Linked DNA regions of Pelodiscus sinensis. The protein of the gene in region 2 binds, or shares a complex with, the protein of the main gene of each other region. Links are inferred from orthologs where the notes say so. Each region holds a gene or a part of one and is shown on either strand. Other genes may lie near its edges. The genes, in order: RAB25 and RAB11FIP2.

Region 1 (7,867 bases), on a different chromosome or scaffold from region 2:
GATCAAGCAATTTGTCTCCTGCCATCCCTCTCCAGCCTCTGACAAACAGAGGCCAAGGACACCATTTTATCCCCTGGCTAATAGCCTTTTATGGACCTAACCTCCATGAAATCATCTAGCTTCTCTTTAAACTCTATTATAGTCCTAGCCTTCACAGCCTCCTCTGGCAAGGAGTTCCACAGGTTGACTACACGCTGTGTGAAGAAGAACTTTCTTTTATTAGTTTTAAACCTGCTCCCCATTAATGTCATTTGGTGTCCTCTAGTTCTTCTATTTATAACTTTTCTTTATCGGCCCTCTCCACACCACTCATGATTTTATATACCTCTATCATATCCCCCCTCAGTCTCCTTTTTTCTAAACTGAAAAGTCCCATTCGCTTTAACCTCTCCTCATATGGGACCCGTTCCAAACCCCTAATCATTTTAGTAAAAGTTTGGGGCCTAGTTGCCAGAGCCACTGTCCTTCTCCCAGTGAAATAAGGGCATACAGACCTGGCTAGAAAGTAATAAACATTTTCCCCTGCAAATAAAAATTTTGGTTTAAATGTTTTTTTCCAGAAAAACCAAAACATTTTCCTTGTTCGAGAAAATAAATTTGGTGGGTTTTTTTGTTTTGTTTTTTAAATCTGGCTTTTGTTGCAATTCCAGTTACTGAAAGCAGTTTGACTCAGGTTAGAAGAAACTGCGCTCTAAAGGGATGCAATCCAGTTAGGGCCTGATCCTGTCAGCAGGCATTACGCCATGTTGGCATTAATACTTTTTACATTACAGTAGTACTTGGAGGCTCATACCAAGACTGAGGCCCCAGCATGACAGGGGGCCATGACAACCCAGAGCAAGAAACAGTCTCTGCTCCTTATGGGGCCTGAGAAACACAGATTATTTTAATTGTATCCTTTGGTATATATGGTTGTGACTATTTTCTTCCATTATTTGATCTGAGGAAGTGGGTCTGGCCCATGAAAGCTCATCACCTAATAAACCATCTTGTTAGTCTTTAAAGTGCTACATAGTCCTGTATTTTGTTTCAGCTACACCAGACTAACACGGCTACATTTCTATCACAGATTAGAAGTGGGTCTGGCCCATGAAAGCTCATCACCTAATAAACCATCTTGTTAGTCTTTAAAGTGCTACATAGTCCTGTATTTTGTTTCAGATTAGCCACAGTACTTGTTGCATTCCGGCCACACCCCAATCCTCCCTCTATGTTTATGGCCCTTTCCTCAGCTCCAAACCAGTTGGGACAGCCCCTTGTGCAAGCAGGATCCTTACATGGCTATTTCCACCCTTTAAGGCTGCTCTCCACTTCGTGCTGGTCTTTGCACCCCTTCTGATCCGGTAGCACTTTGCATAGATGTAAATGCGCACTCACAGTGTGGGGTGATGGAGAACCAGCTCCCAAGGTGGGACAGTCCAGACATCCATCGGGATTCAAATGCCTGGGGATCTGGATTGACAGAAGCCCCAAACCTCCACACTGAGCTTAGCACCATTCCACCAACCCCCCGCAGCAGTGACACTGTAACACTGGCTACTTCTGATTGTCCAGCTAGGCCAGCAGCGACGAGTACCTAATACTCAAGAGCATGGCTTCCCAAACTGGGGTGTGTGAAGAAATTCCCGGGGGGGGGGGAGGAGCACGAGGCGACCCAACCCCCCCCTCCCCCATCAAGTTTTGCTGCCCCAGTCAGTTCCTTTTTTTTTTTTCCTCAACAAATTTTGCTATTTTGGGGGAAGGGAATGTGAGGGTTTTTGAAAAATCAAAAAGTGGGTGTGATGCTGAAAAGTTTGGGAACTGCTGCTCAAGAGGGAGGTGTCAGACCCCCTGACTGCATCCCACAACGCACCCGTCAGTCCAGGCACCGAGCTGGGCTGTTGATTTACTGATGGGATACTCAGTGGGTCACAATCTTGGACAATTTGGGAGAGGAGGGTATAGCTGAGGGGCTCATCTGAGCCAAATTCCTGGTGTAGCTCCACTGACTTCTTTAGGGCTTATGCCCTGGTGAAGTGGGATTTGGCCACAGGGATGGACCGAGGTCAAAGAGCCACCTCGAAGGACTCCTCATAACCACAGGAGAAAGACCCTTTCCCCCAGTTTCTGTTCTGGATGGCTGCTTCCCCTCCACCTCTTGTGGTACATGCCCTAGCCCAGTGGTTCTCAGCCAGGGGTGGGGGGAAAACATGTGTACACCTGTGGGTCTTTCAGAGGGTACATCAGTTCATCGAGATATTTGCTCCGTTTTACAACAGGCTACATAAAAATCACTAGCAAAGTCCATACACACTAACATTTCATACAGACAGTGACTTGTTTGTACCGTGCGCCACACTGAAATGTAAATACGATATTCATACCCCGGTGGATTTATTTTATACTTCGGTGGTAAAAATGGGAAAGTCAGCAGATTTTGGAGTAGCCGTGCACGGCGAGATTTTTGTGTTTCGACGTCTGGTTTTGTAAGCAAGTCATTTTTAAGTGAGGGGAAACGTGGGGCTTGCAATTCAAATCGGACTCCTGAAAGGGATACAGTTGTCCAGAAAGGTGAACAGCCACTGTCTCAGCCCATCACTGCTGCAGCTGGTCTCCCCACATCCATCCATCCATCCTTTGCCCACCTCTCCCCATGCCCCCAGTTCCACCCTTCCAAAAGGCAGAACTAGCACATTGAAACCTAGTCACCGAATGAGGGTGCCGGCAAAACTTACCCTTAAAGACAAAGTTATAATTCTCCTCAGCTGTCCCCATCTTTCCCAGCCACACCTGGCCCCCCTCCGGCCTGGGATCCTCCTCTCAATCTTTGCTTGCTTCCTTACCAGCCAGGGTGTGGGGGAGTTTTCTTTTTTGCCAGGCTCTGATAAACCAGGAAGAGAGAGGACAAAATTTCCTCCTAAGCCAGCGAAGCTGAAAGCGATTGGGAGGAGAGTTGCCAGAGGGGAGGAGACCCACAGAGCCAAGTTCCCTTTACTGCACCAGCTCCCAAAAACCCAGCTTCTGTGTCCTGTTGTCAGAGGGACTGGGCGGGGAATAGATCCTTTCTAGGCGGGTTGAAGGTGCAGCTCTGCAGGGCTGGCTGACTCAGTGAGGTGTGACCCGGGTGTCGCTGTACAGGTTTGTCAGGTAGTGCAAACCACCCCCACCAGCGTCACATGGTTGCTGGGCTCACCCGTACTGGCCTCGGCTTAACTTCACCCTAGGTGTAGAGCAGGAGTGGGGAACCTTTTTGGGTCGGGGGCCACTGACCCACAGGAAAAACGGACGGGGGCTGCATATAAAGTGAGAAGAAACAAACAAGCAAACAAAACTCCTTAGTGACGTGGCTCCCAGCTGAAGAGAAAGACACTCTCCACATTCCCCTTGTGAACCAGAGCCTAAGGGGTCCAGCCTAGTACATTATGTGTGCCCAGTGAGGTGAACCTCGGAAGGCTGGATCCAGGCAAGCCGGGGGCCACATCCGGCCCCCAGGCCTGAGGTTCCCCACCCCTGGTGTAGAAGGACCAGTTTGAGTGGGGGGTTTCATCACAGGATATGAACTCATAGGAAAGATGAATCTTTCATTCCTGGGGATGCCAGAGGAATTCTGAAGGGCTGGCAAGTCTCTGGAGGAGGGAGGGCCAGCAGGAAGCCAGACAGCAGGGTGTGGGAGGCAGAGGGGACAAGGAGAAAGAGCTGAGGATGGAGAGAGGAGCAATTTGCCTGCGGAACCAACTCTGCGGATCTGGGTCAAGTGCCTCAAAAAACACGCTTTGCCTCAGGTGTGTCTATGCCTACAGCGGGCTCCCCTGGAAACAGTCCATGCCTGTCTGGTGACACACCAGGGAGTGAATCAGGGATCTGCAGCGTGAAAAGTCTGAGCCCCCTTATCGCTTCAGCTCAGCCCTGCAGCCTGACTTCTGTGGCTGGGACCAAGAGAGAGGCCTGTAACACACACTCTGGCCTGGGGCTGACACCGTTTATTTCCTGAAGGACTCCTTGGAGGAGCAGAGTGCCAAGGGGACTGACTATTTGAGAGGGGAAGGGATGAACTAACAGGAGTCTGGCTGGGGTTGACAAGAGGGGATGCAGAGGAGGGTCCAGTTGTACCAGGGCTCCAAGTTCGAGGAGCCCCAAAATATCTGTGTAAAGAAAGTGACAGGCAGAGCCATCCCATCTGTGGTAGGATGAACCAGGGTGGCTGCTCCGGCTCCTGGTGAATATGGGGGGGGGGCTCTAATCCAGGACGTTGTTTGGGGGAGGTGATGGTGGTGGGCAGGAGCACAGCAGCAATGGGGCTTGGGGAAGGGGAGGGGAACAAGGGTGGGGCCTGAGGTGGGGAAGGGGGATCCCAGGGCTTGGAGCACTGAGGGTCATCCAGGCCCTGCACCCCCCTAGGGATGGCCCTGGTGACATGGGGGGAGCCCCAGGGAATACAATGTACTTGGGCCCCAATTGCCCCTTGCTCTGCCCCTGCAGACCGTGTGCCTGCTGTGACTAAGGTGAACCCACGGAGCATGAGAGAGGCATTCTCAGTCATCCGTGTGCGAATGACTCGCGCACCTCAGCGGTCCATGGAGGTGACCTCTGGACTCCGTGCTGTACATAGACCCAGTGAGAGACAGACCCTACCTGAAGAGACAGCTTACCAATGCAAACAGCGGCCCAAAGGCTGGGGAGGGGTTTGATTTCCATGGTTCAAAACCCAGCTCTCCTGACTCCAGCCCGGTGGGCAACCCCTGAGCCAGGCCCTCCTCTCACAAGCAGGTCCTGTCACTGCATCAGCATCTGCTCTGGGGACTGGTAGAAGAGACACTGGAAAGGCCTCTAAAGAGGAGCTGAGGGAAAAGGTTTTAAAGTGGCTCAGGCTGGTGGGGGGAAGGCCCCCAATATTTCATTCCGCAAATGGGGTTCTCATTGCCTAGCCTTAGAGCAGGGGTGGAGAACCGACGGCGTCAGGGCCCTCCTAGCATTAGGGAATCGACATTGTTCCTGCAAGGGGCTGGAGCACACAAAATCGACTAGCCTGGGCCTGCCTAGACTCTGGTGTGAGGGGAATGGCTCAGTTGGGGGGTTTGTTGGGTTTTTGTTTGTTTGTTTTGTTTTTTTCGTTCTCACTTGGGGGCGGCCCCCGACTGATTTTTCTGTGGGTCTGTGGCCCCCGACCCAAAAAAGGTTCCCCACCCCCGGCTTACAGCCACTACAGGGCAGTGAGCGAACCCAGGGCTGCATGAGGCAAGTCCCTAGCTCCACCCCTGCTGCCTGAGGCCCCGCCCCTGCTGCCCAAGGCCCCCATGGAACCCAAGACCCCACACTGTAGGGGCAGGCCACCCCCACCCTAGCTTTCCCTAGAGCACAGGGAGGGTCGGTGGCCCCCCCCTCCAAACCCAGAGGGCAGGCAGCGAGCGGCTCCTCTGGCCTTGGAGCCCGGGTGATGCTGAAGCCCAGGCACCCCAGGAGACTGGAGGGAGCCACACTGAGTGGGAGGGGGTTTGGGGGCAGAGTGTGGGTGGGACCAGCCAGGTAGCTTGGGAAGGTATTGCCTTCCCTTGCCTCTTACACCTGCCACCCATGAGCCGCTACGATCCCGCCGCTGGATCCCCAGAGCTGCCACTGCAGGAGAATGATCAGCCCTTGGACGGATCTTAGGTACGGGAGGCAGCGCGACTGAGCCAACAGGGCTTTCGTCTATGCCTGGGACCGCACCTCTTTCCGGCTGGGCAGGGAGCTGTGTGAGCTAATGCCACCGCCTACGTAGGCAGGTGAAAACTCAGCAGGGGGTGGGAGAGGCCAAGTCACAGGAGGAGAAATCAGAGCCATTAAGGGCTTAGCGCTACCCAGCACCGACGCTGTGCGCTCGTGAACTATTTCATGCTAATGCGGGGTGGGGGGGTATGCGAAGTCCAGGAGGCTAATTCCCCATTGTACTCTTTTTACATGGCTCAGGAAGCCCTTTTTACATGGCTCGGGAAGCAAGTGAAATCCTGGCCCTACCAGTGGTGCTAGAACAATTCTTGATGTGAGCTGCACCCCGCCCCAGCTGTGGCTGCGCCCCAAACCACTCCTTAGAGCTGGGGCTGGCAGCAAAGCCCCTGAGGCTAGCAGCTGAGTAAGACCCAGGGTGGACAATGGAGTTCCTGGGCATGGGGCCAGCTGGCAGTGGGGTCAGTGTCTGGGAGCCCAGCATGCAGGGTGGGCAGTCAGGACTCTGGAACCTGCAACAGAGCAGCCAAGACACAGGGTGCAAAAACTGAGGGTAGTGCAGCACCCCATACACCCATACTTCCTGCGCTTATGGGTGCCACTGCTGTTACTGGCCAAGCTCCCATGGGCCTCCCTCATTATAGCTCATAGTTTTCTTCTGCCACTCCCAAAGGAGAGCAGTATCATTACTCCCATTTTACAGGCAGGGAAGCTGAGGCACAGAGCAAGCAAGTGACTTGCCCGAGGTCACCCAACAGTCCAGAAGCAGGACTAGAATACAGGTCTCCTGACTCCCTGTCCAAAGCACTAGGCTACGCTGCGTCCCCCTTAGCTCTGAGTTAGCAAATTTCCTTCTATTTCCATAATTTGTATAAACATGAGTGGATTAGAGGAGGAGATACAACTATTTTGGATTTGTCTACACAGTGCCACAGCCCCGACTCAGGGCATGTGAACTGGTGTGTGCTCTCATTGGCTGCTACTCTGTGCAGACTCTGCCAGCATGAAAAGGTGCCTAGTTTGCATTGATGTAGCTCTGTGTCAGACAGGACCATGTGAACACAAAAGTTGGGTAGCTTTTAGTTCACACCCCCTGGGCCAGCCCAGGGCAGGCAGAGCATGGTACCATCCTCCGACCCGCTGATCTTGGCATGACCCAAGCCTTAACCCTGGGCACAGCACTACATGAACTGGCTAGTTTCACTTTTAAAAAACACCAGGACAGCTTCTCCTGCTGTTGGTGCAGATCAGAAATAACTCCACTTACACTGTGGTAGGAGGGGGAGAATCGGGTGTTTGTGGGCCTCCTACCACCGGTGGCTGGATTTACAGAATCAGACCTGGACACTGCTGGTATCTCCAAGAACAGACACTCCGAATTCATGTCTGTAGTCAGTCACGGGGGTGTAAATCCAGATTGACTCGCTCCAGATTTACACCAGTGTTACTGGCAGCAGAGCATTTTCGGTTAGGAAATGAAAGTTGCATTCCTTATCCTCTGCTGCCATCATGTGAGCAACAGAGGGAAAAACTAGACAGCTCAGCAACCCCTGAATCCTCTTTAGCCTTCTGCCCCAGGCCAACGTGTTCAAAAATCCATCACCACTTGCTTCAGTAGAAGCTGCAAGAACCCCACTTCTCCCTCCCAAATAGGCAGCCATGCCTCCTTCCCCCTTGAAACTCCCTCACTGTTAGATTGCTTGAGGCCTTAATGCCAAGGCTCTGCCTTTTAAAAGGGCTCCCCCAAATGCTCTTGCATGCAACCTATTAGACCACTTAAACTAGTGCTCAGTCACCAGAGTGATGGGCTCAGTACCAGAACCTACATAAGTGTCTAGTCCTGCTTCCTTAAATTCTTGCCCTCTGTATGATCCTGTGGCAGAGAGTTCCACAGTCTAATTTCACAGTAGATTGAAGGGGGAGGGGGAACCTTGTGAGATGTACATAGTGGCGCACAGACCTAGGCACATTACAGTAATACCTAGAAGCACCACCCGAGGCATGTGCTAGGGTAATGTGAAGATACAAGCAAGGGATATCCCAACCCCAGAAAGCTTGCAGTCTAAATAGAGAAGGCAGGAGAGGAAAACAGGATGGGAAGTTACTTTCCCAGGCAAACGTGGCAGACCTCAGGATAGATCCCAGGACTCGTCATTCCCCATCAGATACTCCACATTATGCCGCT
Region 2 (7,427 bases):
AATTAGCACACCATTAAGGTTGTAAGTGTTAGCATCTATTTCAGAGGTACAGCTGCAATTCTTTTGGCCTGTCTTTAAAAAGACAATACATTCAAAAATAACCTTTGCCATGATTCTGCAGCTGACAGGTTGAACAGACCTCTACACACAAGCAGAGTTAACTGTAAAACTGGGCCTATAGACTGTTAAAGCCGAATTAGCAAGTACAATTTATACACCTAACTTACAGCTTGGCCACACTGTTTTTAGACTGATTTAACTATACTCGTTTGGACTGGTCCATTTAAAGCTATATGACCTCTAATGTAGATATATCTGTATCAGTACAAAGGTACTTAAACAAATACAATTTATTCCTGTATATTTAGAAAAATAACCCACACTATACAAATATAATTGGGTCCACACAAGGGTTGAACCAATTTAACTACGTCAGTTAAAAAACACACACCCTAATACAAAAAAATTAGACCAGTACAAAAAAAAAAAAAAAAAAAAAAAAAAAAAAGAGGATGTTCACCAGGTCTTAGGATACTCAGTCTTTAAATATATAGTACACATACTATGCAAAATGATATTTATTAACTTCTGCATTCTTTCCTTTAAGTTCTAGTTGCAGAATTTGTTGGTCAATTATAGTTTTATTTAACAAAAGAATATCTGCTGCTGAAGGCTACTAAAGTGGAAGAAACTTCTAGGAACTGGACTAATAAGAACAGACCAACTCCACTTCATCGCTAAAGCCCAAACCTTACCCTAACAAGCTTCTCTGTCTGGGCCTGCAGTGCAGAACAGTTTGCAGGCTCAATACCTAAAACTCTAATCAGAAAAGTACACAGTACACTAGTGGTAAACCTTAATTTAGACAACGTTCATTCAGCACTAAATAATACGGAAAATTTAAGAGTCAGTTTTGCAGAATATGAACACTTAACACTACATTACATTGGTTGATACTAGACATTGCTTGAGTTGGACTATATTCAGACTTACTTCCCCTTCCTCTCCTCCTCCCAGATCTGGGAAATATATAGTCTAAATTGTGTTGCACAAGTTGAAAATGGTTTTACAACTGATGAGTATGAAAAAAATGGACTGTAAGAAGCTAATGTTAAAAAAAATGTAATTATTGTAGATAATTTTATTATCTATAGTCCTACTCTGTCCAGATGGGCATGTGTAATCACAGGAAAACCTACTGATTTAAATGAGGATACTCCTTTGAAGAGCTCATTGTATGACAGAGGCTTATGAGCCACATAATCTATTATACCTATTAGTTTCAATTAATTTTATTGTAGCTATAAGGCTTCTGATCTAGAACCACATACTTAAGAAACCCAAAAAACTGTAATACAAAACATCACTTACTCTGTTTTTCTTCGTTGCTTGTCCTCAAATATATCATTAAGATTTATTGCCACCTGTCCCAAAAATTTATCCAGGCCCACCAGCGACCTGTGCATGACAATCAGGTAAAGAATGTATTTCTCTGGATTCCCCTGCATCAGTAATCCAGGGAGCTCAAATGATGCCTCTTCTTTCCAGACTGGTTCTAAGGTCTTCTCAGCCACCGAGGTGGAGTATTTTTCCTTGCCCAGTTGTATGATAGTGTAGGTATCATTGGTGCCATTTTTGCCTTTTGGCTTCAGATCTTTGGCTTGAAGAACTGTAACCTGTACGTGGGTTGGGAACCACGTCTGGGCTTGCTCTGCCAACATCATCTTTGAAGAGTTCAGTAGTTGTAGCAACACAATAAAGTTTCTAAATCTTCTAGTTACTGCATAAGTGCACTTAAAGTAGGGATATCTATGAAAGTCCCAGCGTTATTTCTCTCAGTACTGAGTTTGGTTGTTTTTGTTTTTTTGAGACACACTAACCATTGCTTAGATTTTCCCTCCAAAAAAGTAACACCTTCAGTTCTATTACTAATTTTAAAAATAGAAAAAAATCACTCATATATTCTTTTTCTTCCACAACAATTAATGAACTCTTCTTTACTCAGTTTTCCCCCCTCACATCATTAAAAAAAAACACCCCCCAACTCCCAACTCCTGTAAAGACAACCCTGAACTTTAAAATTTCCCATTCCCTGCAAGGCCTTCTAATGTACTGTTCCTACCTCATTGCAAGAAGAAAGGGGCCCAGGGTGAGATAAATAAAGGAATGAGGTTTCAAGGTTTGTAACCAACTGTAGCCTGTCTCTCTTCTGCTTCGCAAACTCCCTCCAGGGCTAAATACTCCCTGGTCCCTCCCTTACCGCACATCATCCCAGAAGCCCCAACATACCCTCCCATATAGATCAGCCCTGCATGTTCAGTCCTAGGTCCCCTTCATAGCACTCTCCTCTCCCACCATGTTCCACTGGGTGCTGGGTAGCCCAGGATCACCTTGCTTAGTCCTCCCCTCAAAACTGCAAAGCCCCCTTTGTACCACCTCTCCGTGGATCTAGAAAATCCCTAGGGGTCTCCTCTTACTCCCTCCCCCAGATCTGGGAACCCCCTAGCATACTCTTACCCCCCCAAATCTCAGAACTCTTTAGTGTACCATATTAACCCCCAAAATTTGGGAACCCTCTAGTGCACCATCTTACCCCCCCCCCAAATCTGGGAACTCTCTAGTGTGCCATTTTACCCTCCCCCCCAAATCTGGGAACCCTCTCGTTTACCATCTTACCTCCCCAAATCTGGGAACCCTCTAGTGTGCCATTTTACCACCCCCCCCCAAAAAAAATTGGGAACCCTCTAGTTTACCATCTTACCCCCCGAAATCTGGGAAGCCCCTAGGGTCCCCTCTGACTCCCCCCTCCCAAATCTGGGAAGCCCCCAGGGTTCCCCGCTCAGACCCTCCCTCAGACTGCCCCTGGGGTCCTCTCCCTGCCCGGCTGTGAGGAGCCCTGCGGTCCTCTCCCTCCCCCCGGCCGCTGGCCAGGGTCGCTTTGCCCCCGCCCCCGCAGGCCTCCCCCGGCCCCTTACAGCCTCGGCGCCTCCGTCCCCAGCGGCGAAGGGCGGCCCCTGGAGCGCGGCGGTGCCAGGCTGGGCTCCCCGGCGGCGGACGGACGAGCGTGCCCGGCGGCTCGCGGCGCGCTCGCTTCCCGCACTGACGCCGCCCCCCCTCCGCCCGCAGAGTCTGCGGCGCTCGGCCTGCTGCTGCCGAGCCCGGCGCTGCCGCTTCCGCCTTCCCTCCGCTGCGGCTGCCTCCGCGGCGGTCAGAGGGCAGGGGGCAGGGTTCAATCCGGCCCGGCTCCTGAGAGCCCCGAGCCTTTCCGCCAAACCCCACCCTGCTCCGGAGCTTCCGGGCCTGGCTGCAGGGAGCGAGGCCCGCTCACGCCTGGCTGCGGGGGAAGCGGGGCCCCTCACCCTGGGGGGACTCCCGAGCAGTCATAGAGAAGACGGATCCCTTATTTATGGGCAGAAGAATTCACCCCAACATCGGAGGAGAGGGAGAATAGAGGAACCCGCTCCTGGGGGTGAGGGGGCACCTTGGACTATTAGTGGGAAGATAGAGGAAAGCCCCCTAATCTTGGCTAGGGGGAAAGAAAGAAAACTCCCTATTATTTTTAGAGGCACAAGAAGCCATCACTGGGGTGCAGTAGGGGTCCTCTAAGCATGGGCGGCTGGGGTTCGAATGCCTCCTATTTCAAACCAGGGGAGGAAGAAATTCCAATCTCCTGCACCTTCCCTCTACCCCTCCACCCCCAATATCTTGGGCTACGTCTAGATTGGCATGATTTTCCAGAAATGCTTTTAACGGAAAAGTTTTCCGTTAAAAACATTTTCGGAGAAGAGCGTCTAGATTGGCACAGATGCTTTTCCGCAGAAGCACTTTTTGCGGAAAAGCGTCCGTGCCAATCTAGACGCACGTTTCCGCAAAAAAGCCCAGATCGCCATTTTAGCGATCAGGGCTTTTTTGCGGAAAACAAATCCGAGCTGTCTACACTGGCCCCTTTTCGCAAAAGAGCAGCGTAGTATTTCCGCAAGAAGCACTGATTTCTTACAGTAGGAAGTCAGTGCTTTTGCAGAAATTTAAGTGGCCAGTGTAGACAGCTGGCAAGTTTTTCTGGAAAAGTGGCTGATTTTCTGGAAAAACTGGCCAGTCTAGACACAGCCTTGGGTTGAAGCTGAAAGCACCATTTTCTGGAAGAGAGGAGAGACTCCAGGCTGTGCTTAATTTTAAAATAATGTTTGAAATGTAAGAAAAGAAAACGGGTGGTAGGGGACAGATAGTCTATTAAGAGTTTTCAAATATATGGAACACTTTTATTCAAGAGAATAATGATAATTTGCTCTTCTGGCCTGCTGAAGACAGGACACAAAATAATGGGCTTAAGCTGTAAGTAGGAAAATGTAGGATCAATACCAGGAAAAGACTTTCAGTACACAAGCATAGTTGAGTGCCGGAACCAGCTTCCAGGAGAGGTTGTAGAATTTTCATCATTGGATCTTTAAGAACAGGTTGAACAAACACCTTCCAAGGTTGGTATAGGTTGTTCCTGACTTGGTAGAGTTTGCTAGACTTGATGACTTCTCAAGGACCCTTTCAGCCCTATCTGTTCTTTCTATAATTCTATGAAAAAAACTCTTGCAACTGAAAGGAGACATGCTACATATTTAAATAAAAACATTTAAAATACAATTTCTTGATATATAGATCATTCAGATTGTCTTAGCATTTTGACACTACCCAATATGTCACCAGTTCTGCGTTAGCAATCAGAGTCCACACATGGTGAACAAGTCTAGATGTACAACTAGTCCAAACCTGTCATGCATGTCTGCCATTTTAAAGGAAGTTTTCAAAATTTTCACTCCTGTGATTCAAGATTTTGCAGTCTGTTTCAAGAAACTCTGAAATCTCATTTCCCAACCTTCACCACGCCATTTAATTTAAATTAATTAGCAAAAATAAGTATAAATTGTTTGGAAATATAGTAGAACCCGAGTTATGAACAACAGAGTTACAAGTGACCAGTCAACCACACATCTCATTTGGAACCAGAAGTGGGCAATCAGGCAATAGCAGAAACAAAACAAATAAAAACCAATACAGTAGAGTTCTGGGTTAAATATAATCTAAAAACTAAAGAAAAGTTTATAAAAAAAAAAAAGATTTGGCAAGGTAAGAAAACTGTTTCTGTGCCTGTGTCATTTAAATTAAGACGGTAAAAACATTTTTCTTTCACATAGTAAAGTTTCAAAGCTGTATTAAGTCAATATTCATTTGTAAACTTTTGAAAGAACAGCCATAATGTTTTGTTCATAGTTACAAATATTTCATAGTTACAAACATTCCTGTAGTGTTCTTAACTCTGAGGTTCTACTGTATATAATTTGAATGGTATTATCCCACAGGAGACTTCTGTGTGCTACAGATATTAGCTATATTTCTAAATACACATGCAGACATGTTATGGATGCTAAACTGAATATCTGACAGACACATTTTGGTTGCTAAACTATGTCCTACCAACACAAACCCACCAATACTGAACCAACTACTGGTACTCTTGAACTCTGACTGTAGACTATCTATTTGTACTGATGATTAAACATGGTTGGTGTGTCCTTCATAAATCACTGTGTACGTAGTTTTCTGTTGGTGTAAGCTGCAAGATATTTTTTGTAATGTTGAAAAAAAAAGTTAAAAGGATCGTCCATGTTCATTATTGGAACATTTATTGTAATAAATTTGGTATTAATTTTGGAGTGTAAATTACAACTATTATCCTGCATATCTATTAGTTAAAGTGCAATATATTTGACATTGGAATTAAGGCTGCACATTGGTTGTTCAGGATGAGCAGCTCTTCCACACACATGCTCCTTCTTTGCCTCTCCTACATCCCCCTTCATCATCTCCGGTGATCATCTCTTAGATATGGCAAATACTTAAGTGGGGATGGAAAGACATAAGGAACATGAAGGGATGAATGGTCAAGGAAATTCATCAAGGATATTAAAAAGCAGAGGATCTGATAGGTAACGCATAGGGGAAAGGGTAAGATGAGAAGACTATGGCAATGCTATTTTGCAAAAAGTTGGCTGATTTGGAGGCAGGGAGAAGATTCTTTGGGATCTTGTGAACACCTTGATTATAACTTTCACAAGTATAGATAACAGAAACAGAATTTGAAGCTTGAGTATTTGTACAGACACTAAGAGCGCTGGCCATCCAATCAGGAATAAAAGTATACCCTGTAACCTGTGTCCCCTCAGAAATAACATGTATCACCCAATAATCCAAAGTTTCAAGCAGATAGGTACCAGTGATCTGCTGACCAAACATTTCTCACCAAAATTACCTGGCAAACAATTCCAAATAATGCAAAAATTGCAAACTTTTCAATTTGCAAACAGAAACCATAGAGAAATTCATTCATCAAATACATTATTTGCCACAATAAATTCGCTTACCTCTACAAGTACAGACAAATGTGTTGATCCTCTTCAATAAGTACTGTTCTGCATGCAATCGGAAATGAAACAGAAGAATGGAATGGTCTCAGAGCAGCCAAGTGTAAAAGGAGAGTGTTTTCTTTTGCTGGGGCAGCTGAAGTGTCAACTCTGATGTGGAATTAGAGATGCATTGTCGGTTCCCTGGGTGAGAGCAGAGAGGGTATTAAAAATTACTGAAAATTACAGAATTCTGCCACAACTCTTGGAATCCTATAGATTTATTTAAATACTGATCTCTTGGGCCAAGCACATGTAGAAGAGTGAATTAATAGAGAAAGATGGTGCACGTGAGAATTAAGACTGTTTTAATTGTAACTATAATCGTTACAGGGCAAGACTTCCTTGTCTTGGTCAGTATTTTGTTTTCTGGCGAGTTCCTCCTTACAGCCTCCTTTTAGTTAACTCTGTAATGGCAGGGAGGATCTTATCACACAGGTAAACTGAGGACCTTATGACACTTATAAACAATAAGGCTATGTCTACACTCATGGCTTCTTGCACAACTATGACCATTCTTGTGCAAGAATCTGCAGAGCGTCCACACTGCCCGCCTGCTCTTGTGCAAGTAAATTTACAGTACGGCGTGGTAAAGGGGGCTCCTTGCTCAAGAGCTACGCTCTTTTTTGACAGGTATAAGCCCTCTTGCACAGGAGCTCTTGCACAAGAGGGCTGTGTGGACGCTCAGCAGGGATTTCTTGTGCAAGAAAGCCCTAAGGCTAAAATGACCTTCATAGCTTTCTTGCGCAAGAAAGCATCCACACTGCCATGGGCGCTCTTGTGCAAAAACACAGCTCGCACATGGCAGTGTGGACGTTTTCTTGTGCAAGAGTTCTTGCACAAGAACACTTGCGCAAGATGTTCTTGCGCAATAAGCCATGAGTGTAGACGTAGCCTGACAGACATTCTCATTCTCCACAACATTGCTAACCATTATAATTCTGTAATAATTGTTCATTTTTAAAGTCACACCAA

The links.
Region 1: the proteins of RAB11FIP2 (region 2) and RAB25 are in contact, whole or in part, in a crystal structure (PDB 3TSO), measured with the Homo sapiens proteins. The link is inferred for Pelodiscus sinensis from reciprocal best matches to the Homo sapiens genes RAB11FIP2 and RAB25. Residues at the interface, in NP_055719.1 of Homo sapiens: Arg475, Glu478, Ile481, Asp482, Asn483, Leu485, Val486, Met489, Pro493, Ser494, Leu496, Arg497, Val498, Pro499; in NP_065120.2 of Homo sapiens: Arg34, Ile45, Gly46, Val47, Glu48, Phe49, Ser50, Thr51, Lys62, Trp66, Arg73, Arg75, Ala76, Ile77, Ala80, Tyr81.

The regions. Positions count from the first base shown.
Region 1 is NC_134734.1:16,798,987-16,806,853, forward strand, and holds the start of RAB25 (ras-related protein Rab-25), read right to left. Parts: upstream 3,076-7,867; 5' UTR 2,755-3,075; coding exon 2,715-2,754; intron 1-2,714. UniProt on the Homo sapiens protein: The small GTPases Rab are key regulators of intracellular membrane trafficking, from the formation of transport vesicles to their fusion with membranes.
Region 2 is NC_134718.1:60,112,800-60,120,226, reverse strand, and holds the start of RAB11FIP2 (rab11 family-interacting protein 2), read right to left. Parts: upstream 3,238-7,427; 5' UTR 1,725-3,237; coding exon 1,372-1,724; intron 1-1,371. UniProt on the Homo sapiens protein: A Rab11 effector binding preferentially phosphatidylinositol 3,4,5-trisphosphate (PtdInsP3) and phosphatidic acid (PA) and acting in the regulation of the transport of vesicles from the endosomal recycling compartment (ERC) to the plasma membrane.